3 linked regions of the Cricetulus griseus genome follow. The protein of the gene in region 2 purifies or fractionates together with the protein of the main gene of each other region. This does not show direct contact. Links are inferred from orthologs where the notes say so. Each region holds a gene or a part of one and is shown on either strand. Other genes may lie near its edges. The genes, in order: Irf9, Stat1 and Pias1.

The links.
Region 1: the proteins of Stat1 (region 2) and Irf9 purify together in Homo sapiens (affinity purification with western blotting; 5 studies listed by BioGRID and IntAct, with this or other methods). This does not show direct contact. The link is inferred for Cricetulus griseus from reciprocal best matches to the Homo sapiens genes STAT1 and IRF9.
Region 3: the proteins of Stat1 (region 2) and Pias1 purify together in Homo sapiens (affinity purification with western blotting; 5 studies listed by BioGRID). This does not show direct contact. The link is inferred for Cricetulus griseus from reciprocal best matches to the Homo sapiens genes STAT1 and PIAS1.

What each region holds. Positions count from the first base shown.
Region 1 is NW_023276807.1:210,814,734-210,817,751, forward strand, and holds the end of Irf9 (interferon regulatory factor 9), read left to right. Parts: intron 1-282; coding exon 283-624; intron 625-1,527; coding exon 1,528-1,643; intron 1,644-1,771; coding exon 1,772-1,882; 3' UTR 1,883-2,368; downstream 2,369-3,018.
Region 2 is NC_048595.1:403,706,763-403,710,416, reverse strand, and holds part of Stat1 (signal transducer and activator of transcription 1-alpha/beta), read left to right. Parts: intron 1-587; coding exon 588-746; intron 747-1,371; coding exon 1,372-1,464; intron 1,465-2,979; coding exon 2,980-3,039; intron 3,040-3,654. UniProt on the Homo sapiens protein: Signal transducer and transcription activator that mediates cellular responses to interferons (IFNs), cytokine KITLG/SCF and other cytokines and other growth factors.
Region 3 is NC_048597.1:174,375,666-174,379,319, reverse strand, and holds part of Pias1 (E3 SUMO-protein ligase PIAS1), read left to right. Parts: intron 1-1,553; coding exon 1,554-1,684; intron 1,685-2,693; coding exon 2,694-2,874; intron 2,875-3,654. UniProt on the Homo sapiens protein: Functions as an E3-type small ubiquitin-like modifier (SUMO) ligase, stabilizing the interaction between UBE2I and the substrate, and as a SUMO-tethering factor. Catalyzes sumoylation of various proteins, such as CEBPB, MRE11, MTA1, PTK2 and PML.

The sequences.
Region 1 (3,018 bases), on a different chromosome or scaffold from region 2:
TTGAACCCAGGGCTTTGTGCATGCTAGGCAACCATTCTTTCAGCTGAGCCAAACACCTTCTCTAACTCAGAAGGAACTGCCTCAGCCATGCAACCTTGTCTTTCCCAGTGCTTGCTTGGATTCCTGCCCTGAGTTCAGTTTTCCCATTAACAAAATGGGGACACTGGAGCACTTCATTTTTTCTGAAACTTTGTGCTGGTCAGGTGCAACATGAGAAGAGGGCCCCTTATTAGCCTTTAGGCTCCTCCCACACTTAATACAGCTGGGCTTTTCTGTTCCCAGACTACTCGCTGCTGCTCACCTTCATCTACAGTGGGCGTGTGGTGGGCGAGATCACGGTGGAGAGCCTAGACTGTCGCCTTGTGGCTGACCCCTCAGTCTCGGAGAGCAACATGCCACAAGTGGTGTTTCCCACACCTGATCCACTGGAGCCTATCCAGCACCTACTGAGTCAGCTTGAGAGAGGCATCCTGGTGGCCAGCAATTCCAGAGGCCTTTTTGTTCAGCGCCTTTGTCCCATCCCCGTCTCCTGGAATGCACCTGAGGCCCCACCTGGGCCTGGTCCGCATCTGCTGCCCAGCAATAAGTGTGTGGAGCTCTTCAGTACCACCTGCTTCTCTAGAGGTAAAGGCTTCCTAGCTGGGCACCTCAGCACCCACCCCTGTCTCTTTGTCCCCTGGGCCTGACCTGGGTTCCCCCCCTCCCCTGTCCGGCAGCAGATTGTCACCACAGCCTGTGCGTGGCACCCCTGCACTCGTGTGCCGCACATTATGTGGAGCTGTATGTTCAGCTCCGGCAGCATTTCCCTCGCCAAGGTCATGGTAGATGAGGTCCCGCTGGGTTCAGACAAGAGTGGCACATCTTGGGGGAGCATTGTACAAACAGGTTAACACGGATTTTAGCCTGCGACCATCTCCACACACTGCAACGCACAGCTCCGTTTGTGGAAGAGCCAAGACATCTTGCACACACTTGCCCCGCCCCACCATCTCTACCATGCTGTGGGGATCTCCTAAGACCGTCCCTTCCTTCTGGCCACCCATGAAATTCTAGTTGAGCCTCTGATTGTGAGCATAGGTAGGAACATAGAGGATAGCGTGGTGTCCCTGGGCTCCTAGTGCCCTAGTGTTGGGAGTATAAGCAAACAACAAAGGGTTGGTAGCCAGGGCTGCTGCTTCTGAGGCCTCCAAGGTACCCTTCCTACTGCACCGTGAAGACCACTTAATTCTTAGCATCTCTAAGCCACAGCTTTGCCCTGACCTTGGTGTCCTTGTTACCACATTCTCATATCTGCATCTGACTGCCCAGACAGCTCCACCTTACTCAAGGCCCTCTATATTGTTACTTTTTGTTTCTGAGTCAACTCTCACATTGCTCCTGGTGGCCTGGAACTCCCTAAGTAGACCAGGCTACTTCAAATCCATGGCAGCTCTCCTGCCCCAGCCTGAGTGCTGGGGTTACAGGCATATACCACCATGCCTGGCCTTCCCTCTTCTTTCTTCCAATCCTTGATCCTCTTTCTTTTAGACTTGGCCCAGTACTGCCAGGGCCAGGGCCCCCCACCCAAGTTCCAGGCAACCCTGCATTTCTGGGAGGAGAGGCCTGGCTCCAGCCACACCCAGGAGAATCTTATCACAGTGCAGGTGAGCTCCACTCCAAAACCAGGTCAACGTTGATTGGTTGCAGAACTGTTCCTAAGGGGGAGGAGCTACGGGGTAGTGACTGTGCCTGCAGTGCTCATGAGGCCTGTTCCTCATTTCTTCCCATACAGATGGAGCAGGCCTTTGCCCGGCATTTACTGGAGAAAATTCCAGAGGAGCAGAAAGCCGCTTTGTTTCTGTTACAGAACCCAGAACATCCATCTGCTGCTTTATCACTCTGATCCTCAGGTCTCTGTTGAAATAGTCTTGTTCTCCACACCATTGGTCTACCTGCTTTGTGTTGACTATCGATGTGGATTATACAACATGGCTGGTAGTGCAGGATCTTTTTATCCTTAAAATAACTATTTTGAGAGCCAGGCTTGTTGGTGAATATTTGTAATCTCAGCACTTGGGAGACAGACTGAATGACTTTTATTTACCTTTTTTTTAGATATACCCTCTTTCATCTCTAAGGAACTGGAAAGTTCTAAATGGTGTGATATCAGAGGGAATTTTGCTCTCTTTCCAACCCCTAACTCTAAATCTAAGCACTTTATGTTTCCTTCCTAGAATTAAATAAAATTTAACTTGGGGGGGAGGGTAGTACACATCTGTAACCTTGGCACCTGTGGGGCAGAGGCATGAAGAGTGAGAATTCAAGGCCAACCTTGGTAGCATATTATGACCCTGTCTCCAACAAATAAATAAAAGCTTTTTAAAAGAGAGATGAGTATGTGCTATGTTGGGAGAGGTAGCAGGGTTACAGGGGAATTATAAAGATATAGACTTGGGTATTTAGTACCTGGGCTCTCTTCCTGATGACCTCTCCAAGTTCCTTTGCTTTCCTCTGCCAGCAGGACTAGCTGGAATGCTGTCTGGCTCTGGAACCTAGTCTCAAACACATGGTGATTCTCCTCTCCCAGCCTCTTAAGTGCTGGGGTTACAGACACAGACCACCATCCATGACTGCCTTCTCTCTTTTCCAATCCTTGACCCTTCTATTTTGTTTTTCAGACTTGGCCTAGTACTTCCAAAGCTAGGGGTCCCCATCCAAGGTTCAGACAACCAAACTGGGGAAAGGATTGGGAGTCAATCTCTAAGAGAGGCCTACAGTCAAACGGCACTATAGCCACTGGTGGCTTAAATGAGAATAGGTTCTGTGTGCTCATACATTGGAACCCCCTTCCCCCGACCCCAGGGCAGGGTTTCTTTGTGTAGCCTTAGCTGTCCTGGAATTCTCTGTAGACCAGGCTAGCCTCAAACAGAGATCCACTTGCCTCCTGAGTGCTGGGATTAAAGGCATGTGCCACAGCCACCACTGCTGCCTGGCATACATACATGGAATACTTGGTCCTCAATGGAACTGTTTGGGAAT
Region 2 (3,654 bases):
TGTATAGCGGTCTTAGGGTTTCTATTGCTGTGATTTAAAAACATGACTAAAAGCAACTTGAGGAGGAAAGGGTTTATTTCAGCTTAGAACTCTCAGCTCACACTCCATCATTGAGGGAAGTCAGGGCAGGAACCCAAAGCAGGAATCTGGACTCAGGAAGCCATATAGAGGTTTGCTCCTCTTGGCTTGTCAGCCTGCTTTTTATTCACCCCAGGATAACCTGCCCAGGGTTGGTACCATCCACAGTGGTCTGGGTCCTCCACATCAGTCATTAATTGAGAAAATGCATACCGGCTTGCCTAGGCAGTCTGATGGAGGCTCTCTTTCAATTGAGGTTCCTTTCCCAGAAAACTATAGCTTGTGTCAAGTTCACAAAACATCCAGGACAGTGGCTCTCAGAACCATGTTGTAATTCTTCAGTTCATGCTAGTCTTTACAAGCCACTGAGCTTAATGCTACCCCAGGCCTCCATCTCCCATGTCTCCCTGAGTGTGAAGTATGTACCACATGTTGATTCTGCAATTGTCTTTAAGCCAGGATGCTTTGGGACTGTGGCTCACTGAGACTCATGTCTTGTACCTTCCCAGGTTCACCATTGTTGCAGAGAGTCTGCAGCAGGTCCGTCAGCAGCTTAAAAAGCTGGAGGAGTTGGAACAGAAATTCACATATGAACCGGACCCTATTACAAAAAACAAGCAGGTGTTATCAGATCGTACCTTTGTCCTCTTCCAGCAGCTCATTCAGAGGTAAGCCCAGGAGGCTTGGCTTTATCCAGAACACCTATGGCCATTCAGACAGTTGGGAAGGGTTTGATGGGCTGTGCAAGTTTTTAATGGCACTCGATTCTTCCTGAATGCGTGGCTTGTGCCAGTGCCTCTTCCTTATTTTGGCTTCCTAGAGGAAGTGTGGTAATTTTTACTCCTTCTGCCCCTCAGCCAGTCCATATGTCTAGCCCAGCAAGTCTGACCTCTGAATGCCTGTCTTCTTCTCACCGTATGCCAGGCTCCCGTATCCAGTCTTCTAATCTCCCACAGCAGCCTCCCAACCAGCCCTTCGCAGCCTTTCTTCCTAGGCTCTGAGACCCACAGCTGGCTTTTGGTCTGGTCCTTCATTACCTGCTAGCCACATGGATCCCTCAGGCTACACCTTCATGGCCCCTTTTCCCAGTGACCTGGAGGCCACTCCACACTTAGAGCAGACAGTACTTTTCTTACCCAGTTTGTCAGACTCCCAAAATATTTTTCAGTGCTCCAATGTTTTCAGCCCTTCAATTTTTCCATCTATTTCCTCTTTGGTAAAAAAGTCATTTTTTTAACTGCTTTAACTTTTATAGAAATGCTAATTTATCTATACTTTGTTGAATGTTGACAGCTCATTTGTGGTGGAACGGCAGCCCTGTATGCCAACTCATCCTCAGAGGCCACTGGTTTTGAAGACTGGGGTACAGTTCACTGTAAAGTTGAGGTAATGAAGACATAGTCCCATATGCTGCCTGTCCCAGAATTTATGTCTGTCTCCCCCCTTTTTTTAAACCCTGACTTGATTTAGATTATAATCCTCCTGCCTCAGCTTTCTAAGTGGTGGGATAATAGGTATGTGTACCGCCACATCTAGCCTTTTAATTTTCTTTTATAAAATGGTTATATAGAGTGCTCCAGAGAAAACAGTTTTCTAATAGGCATTTTAATATGAACTCTTACTTTGAAGAGCCAAGGATTATGCTCAAACTATAACTAGTATAGTTGCATATATACACATGTACCTGATTTTTTCTAATTTTAAGAGGAACTTAGAATTTCAGAAATGTGTATAACACGCAATTAAAGTTCCCAGAAGCCTTCCCTGTGATAAGCAGAGGCTCATAATGGAGCTTTATGACTCCCAGATAGACACTGAAATAGTGTGTGAGTGTAGATTATGGCATGTACAGTTTTCTGTGAGTGAATTCATGTCCTTCACCAGGCTGAATCAGTGGTCTATGATCTAATATATGTGGACATCTGCAGTAAACATTCCATGTCTATTCTGCTATAATTTTGTCCATAAACATAAAAACATGTGTGCGTGTTTCACATACAAAAGTGTGTGTAAATATATGGCATGCAGCAATTCAGTTGTTAAAACTAGGATTATATTTGAATGTCACCTGCTTTACTCCTTGCTGCAGTTGTAGAGATGCTCTATACATCTAGGGAGTGGCTGCACTCAACAAGTTTTGCTCTGGGGATGAGCAACTAGACACTGCAGAGCTGGCTTGTCTTCTGCAGGTTGCTGCTGTGTGTACATAGGAGCTGTTTCTTTGGCAGGCAGTGTTACAGCAGCCCACATAAGCACCAGTGAAACCTAGAACTCATAACTGGTAGGAAAGAGGAAACTCCCCATCACCTGCTCCCCATCAGAGGCTGCAAGCCCCTCCCCACCACCACAGTCTCTAGCTATCAGAGCAGAGTACATGGAGTCTTAATCTACTCTCTCTTCTACACCACCAGTATTCGGGTGCCGTCCTGCTGTTTTCTGGTTATGGGTAGTAGTTGTAATTTAATTTCTTGGTGGTGCTTTATATTTTCTCCCAATAGCACAGGAAATTAAATACAAGTTTTGTAAGGACTGATGTTTACTTTTTTGCCCATATAGTATTGATCAAAAGTGGGCAGTTGGGTTAGAACTGTGTTGGTGGGTTACATACGAAAGCACTGCTTTCATTAACTTTTGTTAGAAGGTAAAGTCGGTGTTGTGTTCCGTTAGAGTTTAGTATTAGAATTTTTCCCAGAATTGTCAGCCAGGAATGGATTCTACAGATATACATAAGAAGAAAAGCCAAATATATATATACAAACTTGTCAGTTCATTGTAATAGCCCTAATCTAAAAGTGAAGAGAGTGGTTTACATAAATGCTTACAGTTGGGGAATTTGCTTAATAAATAAATTTTTGTCGATAGTTTATTTTTTTAAGGTAATGACTATTATTTTTTTTCCAGACTGCTGGTGAAATTACAAGAGCTGAATTATAATTTGAAAGTGAAAGTCTCATTTGATAAGTAAGATTTCTTTAATCTCATCTAAGATACTATTTTACATGCTGGTTTTGTTAACCTCCCTATCAAATAAACAGATCTGAAATTCTTCCCAGGACTCAGGGCTGAACTGCATGCAGGTCCTGAGACTGGCCAGTGAGGAGAGGCTACCCCAGGGCCATTCGTCACAGGCCTTCCTAGGAGACTTAAATCACTGGCTCCTTTTCTGAGGGCTGAGAGCTTTGCCTAGAGAAGGTACTTTCCTGACTAGAATAAACAAAAGCACAGAGGAGAGGATATTGCCATCCTCAGGTCTAAAGTAGTTGGACTTTGCACATCATACCTGTTAGGCCAGCTGCAGAGAAGAGGCCCTTAGTGCAGCACACACCCAAAGATCCAGACTTCGGTCTGTAGCAGTTGGGAGGCTGTCTCTGGAGTGACTATCTGGGGCTGGGATGAAGTGATGCTGTGGAGCCTGCTGCATTCACTTCTGTCTCCTCCGGCAGGGGTGGGAACCTAGCAATGGGCGGGATCTTTTATGGCAGGCCAAGTGAAGGAGCCTCATCCTGCTTACCCTCAGTTCCTACATCTCAGTTAGCGCTGACCTACCCACACCACTTACATTTAAGAAACACTCTC
Region 3 (3,654 bases), on a different chromosome or scaffold from region 2:
AAAGGAAAATGCCTTCCTAATATTTCTAGTATCCTTCAGTAAAACACTCAAACAAGACAGTTTATTTATAGTATATGAGAAGGCGTAAGAGCCTGAAGGGAATATATACAAGCAATTGAATGTGTTTATCCATAGACTTACAACCCAGAGCTTTAAAGATGTCAGTCTTAGGAGAATATGATTAGCAGTGTTTCCTGTTTGATTTGTCATAAATGAAATGATAACTAACTTATAAATTTAAATTAATAGTAATATTTTACCAGCTCTGTATAGTATATATCTTAGGTTTTTTTGTTTGTTTGGTTTTGGTTTTTTTGGTTTTTTGGGGGGGGGCTTTCAAGACAGGGTTTTTCTGTATAGCTTTGGAGCCAACCTGGCAATTGCTCTGGAGACCAGGCTGGCCTCGAACTCACAGAGATCTGCCTGCCTCTGCCTTCCAAGTGCTGGGATTAAAGGCGTGTGCCACCAACGCCCGGCTATGATCTTTCCTTTCTTTTTGGTTTTTTTTTTTTTTTTCTTTCCTTAAAATAAAATCTGTTTCTGTGAAAATGGAAAGAACAGGAAATAAAAGCCATTTTTGATGTAACTTCTGGTTTTATTTTTACATAAATTCTGATTATATGCTATTAATAATAACTTTTAGTCTTTGGTTTCTTTTAACATTATTACCAGATGATTTGGTCACAATGAATTTCAAGCATTTCCTATAAATATTCTTTTAGTTCCAGTGTATTACTGTATTTGGACTTAATTGTTGGTTATACATTTTTTTTATTTTAATTTAGGTTTGTTTGTTTGTTGAGATAAGGTTTCTCTGTACAGCAGTGGCTGTCCTGGGACTTGCTTTGTAAACCAGGCTGGCCTCAGGTGTGCCTGCCTTTACCTCCCAAGTTTTGGGAAAAGCATGTACCACCACCACCTGGCTGATTGTACATTTTTATATGTATGGCTTCAGTTTATCAAATAAGACCTTATGAGCAATTTACCAGTGTATAGCATAAAGAAGAAAACTGAATACATATAAAATCACCACCCAGAGATAACTAGTGTATGCTTTTACTCACACCAAGAATCTTGTTTTGAGGTATCTTTTTTCTTAACCATCTCAGTTTTTGTGAACTGAGATGTATCTATGTATTTAAAAATCTTGGCCTGTGAGATGGCTCAGTGAATAAAGGTGCTTGCTGCCAAGGCTGACAGTCTGAATTCGATTCCCAGAACCCACATGGTGGAAGTAGAGAACCAACTCCTACAAGTTGTCTTCAGATTTCCACAAATGCACTGTGGTACCTACATACCCATATAACAAACACTAAATATTTTTAAATTGTCTTTTTTTTTTTTTCAGCGCTACATGACTTTTTTATATGAATGTTCCACAATTTGAGTAACTATTTTTTCCTATTTAGCATTAGGTTTTGAGAACAAATGTACTTTATCTGCTCTACTTTTTCTCCCATTTATTACTTGTATAAAACATAGGAGTTTTAGGAGTCATGTTTCTCATTTCTCTTCATGTAAGCTGCTGTACTAAGGACAGATTTTTTGTCTAGGTTGTTTATGGAGATCCTGAAGTACTGCACAGACTGTGATGAAATACAGTTTAAGGAGGATGGCTCATGGGCTCCGATGAGATCAAAAAAGGAAGTGCAGGAAGTTACTGCCTCCTACAATGGAGTTGACGGTGAGTAGCTGTTCACAAATCTGTGGTTGCCACTGTGATGTGCCATGACTTTCACGGATGTAGGGTTTTGAACATTCTGAGCTCAGTAATTGTTAGGTTATTGATGAAATGTTCACAAATAGCAGCATTCCTTTTAAATCAACTTTTTTTGCCAGTCTTAAGATTTTTATGGTACTAGCTTTCAAAGTATTCTAAAGTCACTTCTAAAATCACTTCTAAAATCACTTCTAAAATCGTAGTTTTAAAGTACACTACCCTTTTAAAGGATTTTATAGTTTTGGTACAGAGTAGTGAGCATTGCTTTTTCCATGTCTCTTTTTTTTCTTTTGTTTGTTTGATTTTTTTTTAGACAAGGTCTCACTGTGTAGCCCTAGATGGCCTGAAACTCGCAAGAGTTCCACTTGCCTCTCTCTGTCTCTTGAGTACTGAGACCAAAGGTGTGCTCCACCACACCTAGCTGCTTTTTTCTTTAAATATTTATATGTATATGTGGGTAGATTTGACCTTTAGTGTTTTGCTAGAAGGAGACAAAATTTTTTTTAAATATTAGTATTTCCTAGATATTTTGGATGCTGTATAGATAAGCATATATAACATTCAATCCTGCTCAAACTTTTATTCTAAAATGGACATAAAAGATACCTTTTTTTTTTTTTTTTTTTTTTGAGACAGGGTTTCTCTGTGTTGTTTTGGAGCCTGTCTTAGAACTCACTCTGTAGACCAGGCTGGCCTCGAACACAGAGTTACTCTACCTCTAGAGTGCTGTATTAAAGGCTTATGTCACCACAGCCAGCCATAAGATACATTTTGATTATTCTAATTCAAAACTTTTTTAAAATAATTCATTAACAACTAATAAGAAGTGGCAGTTTTAAACTTACTAGAACAGAGCCAGTGTTACAACTCTGGCTACAATAGTGTTGCTACTCTAAACTGATATGCTTGTCTACAAGGACACTTGAGAAAAGAGACTTGACATGGGTCTTGTGCTTTAATCATTCCCACACAGGATGCTTGAGCTCCACATTGGAGCATCAGGTAACTTCACACAACCAGTCCTCAAATAAAAACAAGAAAGTCGAGGTGATTGACCTAACCATAGACAGTTCATCAGATGAAGAGGAGGAAGAGCCCTCTGCCAAGAGGACCTGTCCTTCCCTGTCTCCTACATCACCACTAAATAATAAAGGGTGAGTGCTGCTAGGATCTTTCCAAAAAACTCTCTTGTGAAAGCTTGTTTGGTAAGTAGAGTAAAGGCTGCCAGATAAACTGCTATGCTTGAGTGCAGAATGTAGATTGACTTTTCCCAGGGATATAGCATTCTTGAGCAATTGAGTACTGCACTACAAGAGTTTGGATATACAATTCATTGTGTCGAGAGATGCTTGTGGCCTAGAAAGATGGCTCAATGATTAAGAGTGCTTGGTGCTCTTGCAGAGGACCTAAGTTCAGTTCCCAGCACCTACATACTGGCTCACAGCTGCCTGTAACTTCAGCTCCAAGGGTTCTGATGCCACCTTCTAGCCTCCAGGGATGAACACACACACACAATTTTTTTAAAAAATGATTCTGCTGCATGCAGTAGTTCTGATACATATCAGAATCACTAAGAGTTTTGTTTGTAGTTAACCAGCCCCCCCCCACACACACACTTTTTTTTAAAAGACTTGTTTTGTGTCTATGTGTGTGGAGGGGTTAGAAAACAACCTTTAAGAATTGGTTCTCTCTTTCTACCATGTGAGTCCCAGGATCAAACTTAGATCAATAGACTTAATAGCAAGTGTCTCTACTTGCTGAGCAATCTCACTAGCCCTCATTGAACCAATTTTTGGTTAATATTGTAAATAGAATTACTCTTGGACCAGGTGTGGTGGTGTACACCTTTAATCCCAGTACTTGGGAGGGCAGAGACAGGTGGATCTCTGAGTTCCAGATCAGCCTGCTATATAGAATGAGACCCTCCCCACCTC